2 linked regions of the Astyanax mexicanus genome follow. Each later gene encodes a partner of the first gene's protein in a complex. Links are inferred from orthologs where the notes say so. Each region holds a gene or a part of one and is shown on either strand. Other genes may lie near its edges.

Evidence for each region. Proteins that work in one complex are often made in the same cells at the same time.
Region 2: smc5 (region 1) and ndnl2 share a complex: the UniProt entries of both Homo sapiens proteins name them as parts of the SMC5-SMC6 complex. The link is inferred for Astyanax mexicanus from reciprocal best matches to the Homo sapiens genes SMC5 and NSMCE3.

The regions. Positions count from the first base shown.
Region 1 is NC_064427.1:23,098,766-23,105,834, reverse strand, and holds the start of smc5 (structural maintenance of chromosomes protein 5), read left to right. Parts: upstream 1-4,063; 5' UTR 4,064-4,113; coding exon 4,114-4,292; intron 4,293-5,027; coding exon 5,028-5,169; intron 5,170-5,391; coding exon 5,392-5,444; intron 5,445-5,699; coding exon 5,700-5,862; intron 5,863-6,200; coding exon 6,201-6,335; intron 6,336-6,921; coding exon 6,922-7,062; intron 7,063-7,069. Other genes in the region: mamdc2b (MAM domain-containing protein 2), read left to right, coding at 5-157, 1,400-1,659, 1,758-1,842, 2,701-2,744. UniProt on the Homo sapiens protein: Core component of the SMC5-SMC6 complex, a complex involved in repair of DNA double-strand breaks by homologous recombination.
Region 2 is NC_064420.1:45,881,260-45,889,000, reverse strand, and holds the start of ndnl2 (necdin-like 2), read left to right. Parts: upstream 1-4,724; 5' UTR 4,725-5,057; coding exon 5,058-5,111; intron 5,112-6,503; coding exon 6,504-6,623; intron 6,624-7,741. UniProt on the Homo sapiens protein: Component of the SMC5-SMC6 complex, a complex involved in repair of DNA double-strand breaks by homologous recombination. The complex may promote sister chromatid homologous recombination by recruiting the SMC1-SMC3 cohesin complex to double-strand breaks.

The DNA.
Region 1 (7,069 bases):
ACAGGACCTCCTTCTCATCCTTCTCACTGTAACTTCGAGACTGGACTGTGTGGCTACACACAGGACAAACACGGTGATGAAGCAGACTGGGTTCTGGCTAAAGGCCCGACACCAACATCCTACACAGGACCAATAGGAGATCACACAACTGGAGTTGGTCTGTTATCCATTTTTTGATTAAACACTCAGATATATAAACATCTCTGGAAAAAATATTAAAGGTCACCTTCCGCGAAAATCCGATTTTTCTTGTTTTTTGTGGAATACAGTAGGTCTCTCTGAGTTGAATGTGTACACCTGCACATTAAACTGTTTTGCAGCCCCCATTGTCTGCAGGAGCTAAGCAAAGAAATCCCCCCTCCCCCCCTCGGGTGAATTTTGAATTATCTTTCTGCCTACGTAGGCAGAAACTCACAGACCAGCCCACCTTGGCTCGAGAAACTCCCAGAGGCGGAGCTGAAGCGACGCAACATCACCGCTCATCAGTTAGGAGGTGGGAGGCAGTGAGCGGCAGAGCGGTGGAGGGGCGTCGCAGTGCTCCTAGCCAATCAGAGGAGAGATATTTGCATGCTGTTTGCATGTATGAATATTCATGAGCAAAGCTGGAATCCGGTCATTTTGGACACACCCCTAAAACAGTCCATTAAAAAAGAGCTATACAGAGACACCTGAGCACTTTTTTTTTACAAAAACGGCTCACATGTCATTCATTCAAACTAGAGACCACAACTAGACATTTTAAAATGAAAGAAAAAACGACGGAAGGTGAGCTTTAAGAGACCACTTTAGTTTCTGAATCAGTTTTCTCTGATTTTGCTATTTGTAGGTATATATTTGAGTAAAAATGAACATTGTTGTTTTATTTATTAACAATATGGCCAACATTACTCCCAAATTCCAAATACAAATATTGTCATTTAGAGCATATTTTTGCAGAAAATGAGAAATGGCTGAAATAACAAAAAAGATGCAAAGCTTTCAGACCTCAAATAAAGCAAAGAAGTAGATCTTCAAAAAGAAGTTCATCTTCATAAAGTTTTAAGAGTTCAGAAAGCAATATTTGGTGGAATAACCCTGGTTTTTAATCACAGTTTTCATGTGTCTTGTCATGTTCTCCTCCACCAGTCTTACACACTGCTTTTTGGATAACTTTATTCCACTCCTGGTGCAAAAATTCAAGCAGTTCATCTTGGTTTGATGGCTTGTGATTATCCATTTACCTCTTGATTATATTCCAGAGCTTTTCAATTTGGTAAAATCAAAGATACTTTTTTCCAGAGCTGTATATATTTCATCTAAATGTTATTAATCATCTTTTTACTGTTTACTCTTAAACCCATTGTTTTGTACTTCAGAATTCTTGCTTGAATTACAGTCCAGTCTGTTTTTCTCATCCAAGGTCACTATTTGCACATCGAGGCCTCCCAGATGTTTGCAGGCCACAGAGCGCGTCTGGTCTCCAGCGTTCTCCGCGGTTCTAAAGGTCCACAGTGCCTGCAGTTCTTTTACCATATGTACGGCTCTGGCACAGGAACGCTGAGCGTCCTGCTGAGCTCAGATCTAGAGGAAGAAGACAGGGTCCTGTGGGTGCACAGCGGAGAACAGGGCATCTCCTGGGTTAGAGCATCAGTGAGCTACCAGTATGATCATTCACACCAAGTAAGAAAACTTAGTTACCCACAATCCACCAGTGTTCATACTTTCAAAGAGATCTTATTTTCATGTAATTGTTACGTATCTTTCTTCTTCTGGTTCAGATCGTTTTTGAAGCTCTCCGGGGGCCGTCTCTACGAAGTGATATTGCGATTGATGACATCATATTTCAAAAGGGACCCTGCAAAGGTATTCCTCGCATTAATGATACACAGATTATAATATGCCTTTTAATCTAAGGTGATATCATGTGATGTCATTCCCAAACTTTAATTATCTCATTTCCACACATAAGGAAATCGTTCCCAAGCCTTAATATTTTGTTCCCACGCATTAGGAATTTGTTCCCAAGCCTTAGTTATCTCGTTCACACGCATTAGGATCTTGTTCACACGCCTTAATTATCTCATTCTAACACATTAGGGTCTTGTTCCCAAGCCTTAATTATGTTGTTCCCACGCATTAGGATCTTGTTCTCAAGCCTTAATAATTTTTTTCCCATACATTAGGATCTCGTTCCCAAGCCTTCATTGTGTTGTTCCCACGCATTAGGATTTTGTTCCAACACCTTAATTATCTCATTCCCACACATTAGGATCTTGTTCTCAAGCCTTAATTATTTTGTTCCCACACATTAGGATTTCAGTTATTAAGTTGGAGCCACGCATTACTTTTTTTTAAACATGATTTCACCATAGGTTCTCCTTTAAGCTTCATTAACAATTCTACCTTTTCTGGCTAGTCTAATATTAGCAATTAGCCTACAGTCAGCTATTGTCTTTTCTCTGGTTAGCATAAGCATTTAGCAATATCTGTTACTGTCCTTTTCTGGTCAGTTTATCTGTATTTTCTAGGCGACAAAAGAAACGAATTTCAGGCATTTACAGCACTTACACATAAAATATAACAACAATATATGAATAGTTTGATGTGTTTGTCTCAATAATACTCAATAATATTAAATGTACAATATTATTCTTGGGCATCTCTAAAACACCCATCAAGGCATTGTAAAAATAATAAACTCTTTCTCTTTCCCTCCCACAGATTCTGACCGGCCAGCATCTGGAGATCTTAACAACATTGAATAAAACATTAAATACAGCACACAGAGGTTAATCGTAATTAACAAAATTTGGGGGAACACTTGAAAAAGAGGAGATGTGTTTTTTGAGTTAGTCAGTCATCCCTGGCTCCTCGCTCTTTGTAACTAACTTGAAAACAAATTTGCTATCTGGATTGGGAGATTAAAGTAGGATTTTACGAGTTTGCTTGTACTATATGATTGCGTCATGATAAAGATTTTTTAATAAAGCTCAGTTCTGCAGTATGTTTGGTTTATACATATCACTGAACTATGGAGTAGATATAGTGTTTATGGAGAATCTTTAATAAAGAGGAAATTATACTGAATTACAAATGTGTTTAAATTCTTTTTAAATACTCTTATTTTATTAGATTTTATTTTTGAACCATTTTCACCATTTCCACCAATGATAAAAAATTGAGTTTAAAACGTGATAAATAAAAAATAAAATGATTATTAAGCATTAGATGATATATGAATGTATCATGATTTCTGGAGGAAAGCTATTGGTGTATAAAATAAGCACCTACCGCCCTCTAGTGAATAAATTGTTTAATACAGTCTATTTCTGTTACATAACTTTAAATGTTGGGAACTCGCCACTAAAATAATATTCCTGCGAGTGCAAAGCAGTAAAGTAAGTCCAGATTATAAAGTCATAAAATTGAATTTTTAACATCGATTTTTTAAACCTCTCTATTAAGTTGAATTTGCGAGAAACTAGTTTTTAAATGTCTTTTTCACTCAAAATGTATATTGTCTTCTATGTTGGAAATCTGTTGGATTTTTATTTTTTTTATTCTGATTTTTTATTAATGATACATTTCAGGTACAGACACTGCTCAGCACATCTTTACCTTATAAAAAGTTCAAAGTTAACATACATAGGTTACATTATTATTATTATTATCAGTAGTAGTATAGTAGTAGTAGTAGTAGCAGCATATTATTATTAGTAGTAGTATTAGTAGTGGTAGTAGTAAATAATTAGTAGTAGCATATGGGCTGGACATTTTAACAGCACATGAAGTTATAAAAAAAGCTTAAATTAAATCAGATCATAAGGGATACAGAGACCAAAAGTATAAATTGCTTTGAGACCAAGATTGCTAAATATTTATTCGAGTAAAACAAGAGAAATGGTTTATACAGTTCAAAAACCTTACTAAAAACAAATATTTTAAATTTGCATTGGTGTATACAGAACGTATTAGATATAATAAATATAACAGTAAATTCCTGGTTTAACTGAATGTTTATCCTTGACCTGAATGAAGAGAGGGACGCGCCAGTCACGTGACCGGCGGCGGCCAATGACAGTGGGCTATGAGGCGCTACAGCGGCGCGAAACGAAAGCGGAGAGGTGCGGGAGAATGGCGCTCCAGAGCAAAAAGAGGAGAATAAGTCACATTTTAACAAACTCTCAGCTTCCCAACAGCCAGAACCTGCTGCTGCCCTGCAGCTCGCAGAATGGCAGCTTCGCCCAGGAGAACGGGCAGAGCGGCCCCTGCGTGGAGGGATCCATTCGCCGCATCACCATGCAAAACTTCCTGTAAGTAGTTAAGCTAGCGCTAGCTAAGCTAACAGGCTAACAGTGTTATACAGCAGCAGCGCTCAGATTCTCTAATATAAATACGAGTTTATTCATGATTTGTAGAGCAGCCTGTGCTGAGTATTTAAACTTCTGTCTATATATTATATTTATGGGTGATGTGTGTAACTGGAGGCGGAGGGTCATGTTTTATATTCTGGGTTGACGTTTGTAAACATTTAATGACAAGTTACTAACCTTGTTAACTAGCGCTAGCATAAATATCTATCTATGTTTATATATAACTATCTATCTACCTAAATATATCTCTATATGCATATATATATATATATATATATATATATATATATATATATATATATATATATATATATATATATATATGTATGTATATGTATATATATATATGTATATATTGCCTAAAAATTATGAGTATGAGTTTCTTTGATTTTACCAAATTAAAAACCTCTGGAATATAATCAAGAGCAAGATGGATGATCACAAGCCATCAAACCAAGCTGAACTGCTTAAATTGTTGCATCAGGAGTGGCAAAACATGATCTAAAAGCAGTGTGTAAGACAGGTGAAGGAGAACATGCCAAGATTCATGAAAACTGTGACCAGGGTTATTCCACCAAATATTGTTTTCTGAACTCTTAAAAAAAACTTTATGAACATGAACTTGTTTTCTTAACATTATTTGAGGTCTGAAAGCTCTGCATCATTTTATTTCAGCACATATGATCACTCAGAGGTTTACCCTGGACCCAACTTAAATATGATAGTGGGAGCCAATGGCACTGGCAAGTCGAGTATTGTCTGTGCCATTTGTCTTGGACTGGCAGGGAAGACTGCTATCCTGGGCAGAGGGGATAAGGTAAGCCCGATAACACTGTTTGTTCTTATTTCATGTAGACTCTTAGGAACACATAATAATATGTTTATGGGTTGTAGGTCTTCGATACCACAAATGAGCCATACATATTGAGCCGAGGTATTCAGACTTGTTTCCTGACATGGGGAGCATCAGCTCTTTGTTTGATGTTGTTTGTTTGATGAACATTATTGCATGTTTTTCATTGTATATTTGTTTTTTCAGGTCAGCTTGTATGTTAAGAGAGGCTGTCATAAAGGATCTGTGGAAATTGAACTGTAAGTATTGTCTGTCTGTCTGTCTGTCCTCGCTTCCTATCTTTAAAGATAGATATAATTTAAAAAATATAGACATAACATTTTATTTATCATTTAATGAACCATTTATTGTGTATTTTTTTGCATGTTTTAAATGTTTAAGTATTTTCTCTGGTATATATTAACACGAACAATATAAGATGTGAGCAGTTGACTAACTATTTCTTAATAGGTCCATCTCTAGGTCGTCTAATGCTTCACCCACTGTTTATTCAGGTACAGGAAAGAGGGAAACTTGGTGATTAACAGGGAGATCCATGTAGAAAATAATCAGAGCGTGTGGATGATGAACGGTAAACACTCCAGTCAGAAGGCTGTGGAAGAAGCAGTCAAGGAGCTCCAGATTCAGGTCGGAAACCTCTGTCAGTTTCTGCCTCAGGTGAGTAACTGTGCAAACTGTTCAATGTGTGTGTGTATATATATATATATACGGGCTTCTTTGAACACTTACCCTTATAACACTGCATTTCAGCGGAGTGGCTTTACTGCTCCTTAATATCAGACTGGTATAATTTATACATAAGGAGCACTGAATTATAAGGCCCACTGTCGATTTTTAGAAAAAAATAAGGATTTTAAGTGCCCCTTATAGGGCAAAAAATACTGTGTGTGTAATTTTTAGCTTGGATCAGTTATATTAAGTGTTAAGAGTGCAAAATTACCATTAGCCGTTAAATACCAAGTTTTGCCTTTACAGTGCTTTCTTCTGCTCAACAGGAGAAAGTTGGTGAATTCGCTAAAATGAGTAAGATTGAGCTTCTTGAAGCCACCGAAAAATCTGTTGGACCACCAGAGATGTACAACTTCCACTGTGAGCTGAAGACCTGTCGCACCAAAGAGAGGGACCTGGAGGTACATTTGTTGTTGTGACTGTTTGTATCAATCTGTGACAAATTGACATGCCGTGATGGTGAAAAGGAGAAATTACTTTTAGAGTAGTTGCGTTTTTACATTCTATTGTCAGTAATGTATGAATTTAGATCATTTAGAGCTAATTCTTAAGGCTATTTTGGTTAATGCATTGTTATGCATTGATATTGTCATGCAGAATGCTCTGTAGTCCAGGACTAGTTTTGAGCCCACTTCAGGGAACCAGCCCTATAAGTGTAACACAGTGTATGAGTGTATAAAGGCAGACGGTAGGCCTGTCATGGTGATTATTATTGCTTAAACTGTATAATAGTTTCAGCAATATTTGCTATACATAACTTTATTGCAACTTCATGATCATTTTATTATGCAATTAAATAACTAAAATAAAAGAAAGCATGCAGTCTGGGATTAAGTCTTTGTGTGGGTATTGTATATTTAAGGAATAATAAGAACTTGCTTTTACATTTTAAAACCAAAATAAATGAAATTTACATCTGATTGATTTAATTTGATTTGAGGGATACTATGCTTATGGGCTATTTTGTGTGTTTCTGTGTTTCTAAAGAATTTGTGTAAAGAGAAGGCCAACTTTCTAGAGAAAGCAAAGCAGAGGAACGAGCGCAATAAGGTGGATGTGGAACGGTACCACATGAAGAGGAGACATCTGGATATGATCCAGATGTTGGAGAAAAAGAAGCCTTGGGTGGTCAGTG
Region 2 (7,741 bases), on another chromosome or scaffold:
GAAATGTCATTGATGAGCCAAAAAAACAAGTTTTTTTAATAGAAAATAGCTGAAATGGTTCAATGTTTTGGCCTTTAAATTGCTGGTTCTCACTACAAATGTACCAATTAATTTAAGCCTGTTTTATTAAGGCAATAAAGATGCTTTCTATAGTTTAATATTGAGCAATGTCTTAGAAGACATTTTTTAAAATGTCATAAAGAACTTTCCTCATAGATTTAAAGGATACTTTATTACATAAAAGTGGTTCTTTCTAATGTAAAGTACTTCACAGCTAAAAATCTAGTGTGAGGAACTTATTTTCCAACCTTAATAATGTCCAAAACATGCTTTTTTGGACACTTCACACTTAGTGTGAAAAGTTTTGTAGTTGAGCTCATTAGAAAAAATTTAAGTGAAACCAATAATATCAAGCAATGAATTTTAAGTGTTTAATTAAGTGTTTAATTTATCACAATTCACAATTTAAACACGTCTTCAAGTGTGCAACATTATGGGGACTTGTTTTAAAATGGACAATTCACATACTCATACTTTCTAATTCTATAGCCATGCTTTTTGCAATGTGTGCATCATGTGCAATCATGTGGATTTGCATTGTCTTGCTGGAAAAAAAAACAGCAAATGCATCTTTTTGAATGAATGAGTAAAATGTCTACAGTAAATCGTCGCTGTCCTATGAAAAACACTTATCTCCATTTTTTGGTAGGTTTTTAGTTTACTACATAATTTGAACAGACAAACTGTCCCTGTGCCACTGTGCCAAAATTTCTTGATGAACGGGCCAATAGAAACACTTCAAAACGACCTGAAATCAAGTCTTCTTACATTGACTTCCACTGAAAGTTTACAAGGTTTTTTCTCTCTCCTGTAAAGTTGCACTTTTTTTTGGAGAGAAGTGTTTTTAATATTCACAAATTTATTAAGTTCGTTTATTATCAGTTTTTCTTATGCAAAACAATGTAAGCGGACTAAAATTGTTTAATTGTGTATTAAATCAGTGCAGATGGTTCTGATTTTAAAGAACCACAGGAGACACTGAGCAGATACTGTACATCATCTCTCTGCACATGATCCACAAGTGTTTCAATTAGTGTGTATAATAACAAATGCATGCACTAGTGTAACTAAGCACTAAGCCAGTGAGAGAGAGAGACACACACACACACACACACTATATACAGCCCAGCAAGCCTTTTTTCCCCTCTGCTTGGCCGTGGTCCCGGCCCATCTGCAGCTTGGCTCACGGATTACTGTTTGTTAATGTTTCAATCAGCTGTGCGCCGAGGAATGTGGAGCTATTTAACCTGAACTTCCCCAGGTGTGCGCCGGCGCCACTCAGTCTGGGCCCGCCTGCCCTTCCCTGCCCTTGGCACAATGCTATCACACAAACACACACTCACACACACAAATCCCTCTCTCTCTCTCTCTCTCTCTCTCTCTCTCTCTCTCTCTCTCTCTTCCCCAGCTGTGTGTGTGCAGCTCGCCGGCGGGAGGGAGGGGGGAACTGGAACAACACAGCACGAGGAGAGTAACAGGAGGAGGAGGAGGGAGGAACTCAACTGCTGTAATTTATGGGGAGTGAAATTAACCTCCCCGCTGCTGAAACAGCTTCGCTTGTAAAGGATTTTTAGGCCCATCTATCTTTATTCTTCTTCTTTTTCTCCTCCTCAAGCAGCTGAAAAATTAGAGAGTTAAACAACACATGTGCAGGGCTGACTGACACCCGCACCCTATGGTTAATACTAGTTCTGTCGACTGATTAAAAAATGTATGAAAATAATCAAATTAATCACGACTAATCACACTTTTTTACCGCAAGACTTTGCTTCCTTAACCCTAGAACACTAATGTTGAAATAATTAGTAACACCATCACTAACGTCGGGTAAACACGATTATAACGATAGAAAATAGAAAAATAGAAAAACGCGCTGCAAATACAACCACAACAAAAAAAAACAAAAAAACAGGAGGACCAGTAAGTTTTTTGGTTTTCTCGGTCACATCACGTTCAGTAGCTCCTCCATTTCCACTCGCTTCTATATTCTAGGACCACAGAGTTTAGTGAAAAACAGTATGTAATTCAGCCTGTAATTTTCTCAGAGGACTGGATTCGTTTCTGAAAATATTACAGGCAGAACTACAATATTTTCCTACAATATTTTAAGTACTATCCAGATGCACATCTCAGAGTTTCGTCACCTCGCGTTTAATAAAATAGCTATTTGTCCACTGCTGCGCACCGTAATTAAAAATAAACATAACAACTAGTGGAAATGGAGGAGCTACTGAACGCGATGTCATGTGATTGAAAAAGCATTAAAAAAAAAGTCCGGATGCAATAGTTTTATCACTGAGTAGAAAAATGTGAAATATTTTAAACAGCCGTCCCCCTGAGAAACTAATCCTGTCCGGATAGTGCTATACATAGTATGTGCGCAAGAGAGAGAAACAGAGTTAGTGAGAGCTTACACTTGGCTATTTAAAAATGAGCAATGACTGGTTAGGGTCCTGGTCATGCAGCTTGTCATCAGCTGCCGAAGCCCTGAGAGAGTACAAATTGGCCTTGCTCTCTCCGGGTAGGTAGATGGCGCTTTTTCCACTCATCACTACTAGGGTGATGTGGATCAGCACAAGGCATCTGTGAGCGAATGTATCGGAGCCAACTATGTAATATTTATAGCCGATAGCCTTTATTATTAAGAAGTAAGAAGTATATTATAACAAAAATGTCATTACTTATTCATTGGAGACAAGACATAAATGGTGGAATTAGTTCAGTGAAGGTAGTCTACTTTTGGAAAGCTATTAAAATTGAATGTCACATTATATTTAAATTATAAATAATAAATGAGCTAAAGTCTTACTGTAGACATAGGCCATTATAGGCCATTAGGTGTAGAATCAAATGATCTGATCAGCTAGGGATGCAGGATTTTACCAAAGCTGGCCCTGCAGCATCATGAGGAGATAATTTAGGCAAAAAGGTTAAATTTCCAAGATGATATTATAAATTATGAAAACACACTAGTAACAATTAACCACATACAATAAAATACAACTGTTTAGCAACACTGAAGCAACGTCATATCAATCCCTACTGAGGCCTAGCCAGAGAATAGGCCAGACTTCAGTAGGTTGTATTGGCCTCACTGTCACTGTTAGTGGACCTAGTCTGGGTCTATAAACTAAGTCCTATACTGCCACCATGTGGAGTAAGGTTGTGTTGGGTTCTGATCAAGGACTGTTTCGTAGGATTATAAACATTTAAGAGATGAAACATAATCTACGTTTTCATTGTCTAACATGTGTTTTGCATGTGAATGATAAGAGTGTACATTTGTGTTATTAATTTTTTTTTCTTTTCACACCTCAAAGTAGTATAGTACAAAATATATAGTACAAAAAACTAATATAAACATTAAAAAACATCGATTGAAAAATGCATAAAAAGCAAACAATACTATTATTTCTACTATTACTACAAAGAAAATGTAATAATAATTGGAAAATAATAATACATAATAACAACGACAAGTAAAATGAGTAAATGTAAATATAATCAGGAGAAGAATGGATGATCACAAGCCATCAAACCAAGCTGAGCTGCTGGAGTAAAGGCATAAAGTTATCCAAAAGCAGTGTGTAAGACTGGTGGAGGAGAACATGATTTCAAGATGCATGAAAACTGTGATTAAAAACCAGAGTTATTCCACCAAATATTGATTTAAGAACTTAATAAATATGAACTTGTTTATTTTGCATTATTTGAGGTCTGAAAGCTCTGGATCTTTTTTGTAATTTCAGCGATTTCTCATTCCCTGCAAATAAATGCTCTAAATGACAATATATAATAGGAAGTTGGGGAAAAAAAACAATGTTTTACTCAAACATATACCTTTAAATAATAAAATCAGAGAAACTGATTCAGAAACTAAAATGGTCTCTTAATTTCGTAATTTATATATAAAAAGCATCCAATACTATTATGTTAACTATTTTTGCTACTGCATTGTAGATTAATACTAGGGTCATCAGAACTATAAAAAAAAATCATGGAATTATTTAGTAAATAGAACGTGTTAAACAAACCAGAATATGTTTCACATTTTACATTCTTAAAAGTAGCACCTCTTGCTTAGATAGACAGTTTTACTCATTTTAGCTGAATTTTCTCAGTCAGCTTTATGAGGTAGAGTCTCCGGGCTTTCTGTGGCTTTCAGTTAACAGCTGTGCTGAACTCATCAAGAGCTAATTACTTGAATTTCTTGTCTCTTAATAAAGTGTTTGAGAGCATCAGTTGTAAAGTAGTGAAGAGGTATATTTACAGGTATACAGTGAATAGTGTATATTTGAGTAAAGTTCTAATCCAGATTATGAGAAGCAAGCACTACTTAGCTACTAAGTAAAGAAAAAATACTTTTAAAGCTTTATCGAGTGTAGTTGCAAAGACGCTATGATGGAACTGGCTCTCATTAGGGAAAAAAAAACATTGACTGAGATTGTGGGTGCAAACTTTTGACTAGTACTGTATATATTACATATAAATAATAAAACAAGAAATAAATACATACTAATATTTAGGAAGACGCCTAGCCCCCCCCCCCCCCCCCCCATCCTGCTTTGTGATTGGCCACCCTAAATACGGGTAGGAATTATTCGCGCGGGACTGTTCTAAAAACGGGTGTGTTAACTTACACGCCGTCGCGATTCAGCCAATCAGATGCCGCGCTTAGCAACCACGTGACCAAACAGACGGAAGTTCCAAACTGCGCGGTGTGCCTTCGTTTTTAGACCTAAATATGAAGTAAAATAGTGTTTATAGGGTTTTATATAAGCGATAAACACTCTTGATTATGTGTAGCACTCTTTAGAACTAATAGTGAGGGGCTCTGTGTGAGTAAATCGGCTTTAAACGCTGTAAATGTGTGATTATTAGCTGTTAGCTGCTGTTAGCTGTTTCTAACGGTGTGTTGTTATGAGCTGCCGGAATGAGGATTTTAACTGTGATTTGAGTTAATTAGAGAGATTTTCTGTAATATCAGGGCTGTAAAAATGTCTCAGAGGAAGAGAGTGGCGCATGCTGGCTCCCAGAACAGAGTACCGAGGGTAAGCAGAGCTGGACATTTAACTTAACTACTGTTTATACCTGATAACTATTGGCAGAAATGACTATTAGCTACCTAGTTAACCCTAACAAGTCTTGACCCAAAACCCTGCTGTATAACAAGTTATTTATATTCTGAAAACTTCTACAGGTCACTTGGAGAAGCTGCCTGTTTTCTCTCTAATTTATTCCACGTAATTTCAGATTAATAACAAAAATTGATATATATAACGGTATATATATATATATATATATATATATATATATATATATATATATATATATATATATATGTGTGTGTGTGATAATATAATATATCAAATTCTACTTGTTTGAAAATAGACACAAAAACTAGACAACTGCCGCAATATAAACGGTTTCATATGTATTGAGGAAAATATTGATTTTAAAATTAAGTTCAGAAAAGCTGCAATTTTCAGATTTTTATTCACTATATTTTGACAATTGCAGATTTAAATTTGTTAAAATATATTTTATATATAAATATAGTATATATTGAAAAAAATAATTAATGTTTTTTATTAAACATGAAACCTTTTTATGTAATGTTTGTATAGAAATCCTTAAGATATAGGGGTGTGATATCAGGCAAAAACTGAAAAAAAAATGCTGGCATTTTAATTTGTTAACTAACAAGTTTTTAACAAGGTTATATAACTGATGTGTGCTCTGTACATAAAACACTGATGCATTTTTACCCTTTGAGTATTTTTTGTTCAATTATTTATTTTACATTTGACCTAGTTTATTTTTTATTGAGTGTTGGACAAAGTACCCAAACCTTGTAGTTAGTTATTATAGGTTGAGTTAAAGAAGAGTTACTGACGATATAAGATAGAAAATATTATTTCAGTAAAAACAAAAGTCTTCCCTTTAGACCTCCTCTTGAGTAAAAGTACATCAGTAACTGCTTGCCTTCAAGTGTACTAAAGTTTTAAAAAAGTAAAAGTACCGTAATTTATCATGACATTCGATCATCAGCTATTATCATTTTCTTAACAAGATTTTAGTTTAAAGAGGTGCTAAACCCCCTGACTTCACTCTCAGATCAAATTTGAAAAAGGCTAAACAATGAGAGGTGTAGTTTGGGAAGGGCACTGGGTGATGTATGGGTTTAGAAGCGGGGCACCTTTAGCATCATCCACTCCTATAGCACAGTTTAACCTGAGAGGACGCTGCAGAGGCAGAAATTACCACAATAAAAGTGTTTTTTAAACAGTGTTCTTTACTGCACTGCATCTTTATATTCCATATATTCCAGGGAGTCTCCAATGTGGGAATTCTGGGCCAGTGCTGATATCCAACTTACACATTTATAACTTATAATATTTATGATTGCAATGTCTGTTCTGCATGTCTTTAAATCTTCACAGCGCTCGCAGCAGGTGGTACTGGACGAGGATGATGATGGTGATGCATCCTACACACAGCCAACATCATCACAGGTCCAGAAGGCCAGGGAGAATTACACACCTGTCCAGGTCGATCGTAAGGTAACTCAGTCTAATTAAATTCAAAACACATACACATAGTGTGTTTTTTTTTTTTTTAATGTGAGCTTATTATGGGATGGGATTATGGTTCGGTCTCTTCTCTGTTCAGTACACTTTGTGTGAACGAAGGACTATTGCATGTAGTTACAGCACCATCATTAATAAATGTTCTGTGTTTTCTAGTGTCTTTACAGGTGCTGGTGAACGAATTAGAATAATTCTAAATAGTGCAAAACTGAAATGAAAATGAAATGAAATGAAATTCTTTGAATGCATTTTTTGTGCAGAAAGCAAATCAGGTGTTCACCGCACCTGTCCTACTCGTTAGACTAATCACAGAACTCGTTACCTGGAAAAAAAATTGCTCAGCTGAGCTTTCCAAAAGGCCCATTTAGGCCATTTAACTGTGACACTGTTGTTTTATTGAATTAGAATAATGGAGAAACTGTTTAATTGAATTAGAATAAATGCTCGAATTTTTGTTTTCTGTGAAGAGTGTTCACTGTGCAGTATAAAGTCAGGGTTGAGTAGAATTTCTAAGTTGTAAAATCAATCATGGGTAAGCAGCGCGACCTCTCTACAGGAATAGTGGCTCAAATTCAAGCCCTTCGCCAACAAGGCTTGACCCAAACTAAAATTGCTGAGCAGCTCGGCATCAGCCAGTCTTCCGTCTGCAAAGCTCTCAAGAAAAACTGCAGCAAGCGCATCAACTGTTCCGGCGTCCGAAAAACTTCTGCTCGCGACAACAAGCAGCCGGTTCAAGTCCACTTCCGAGCTCACCGACTTGTGGAACAAGCAGACCGGCGCTGACGTCTCCAGATCAACCACTTACCGTCGTCTGCGCGAACTCGGCTTCAAATCTCGCGTTCCAGCAGTAAAACCGATGCTGAACAAGAAACAAATGGAGAAACGGCTGAAGTGGGCCAAAGAACACGGCGAGTGGACTGCTGAAGACTGTCAGAAAGTGGTCTTCAGTGACGAATCACGCTTCTGCATCTCCTTCGGTGACCAAGGTCCTCGTGTCTGGCGTCGTGGTGGCAAAACCTACAACCACGAGTGCGTGAAAAGATCCGTCAAGTTTCCCCAGAGCGTTATGGTCTGGGGATGCATGTCCGCTC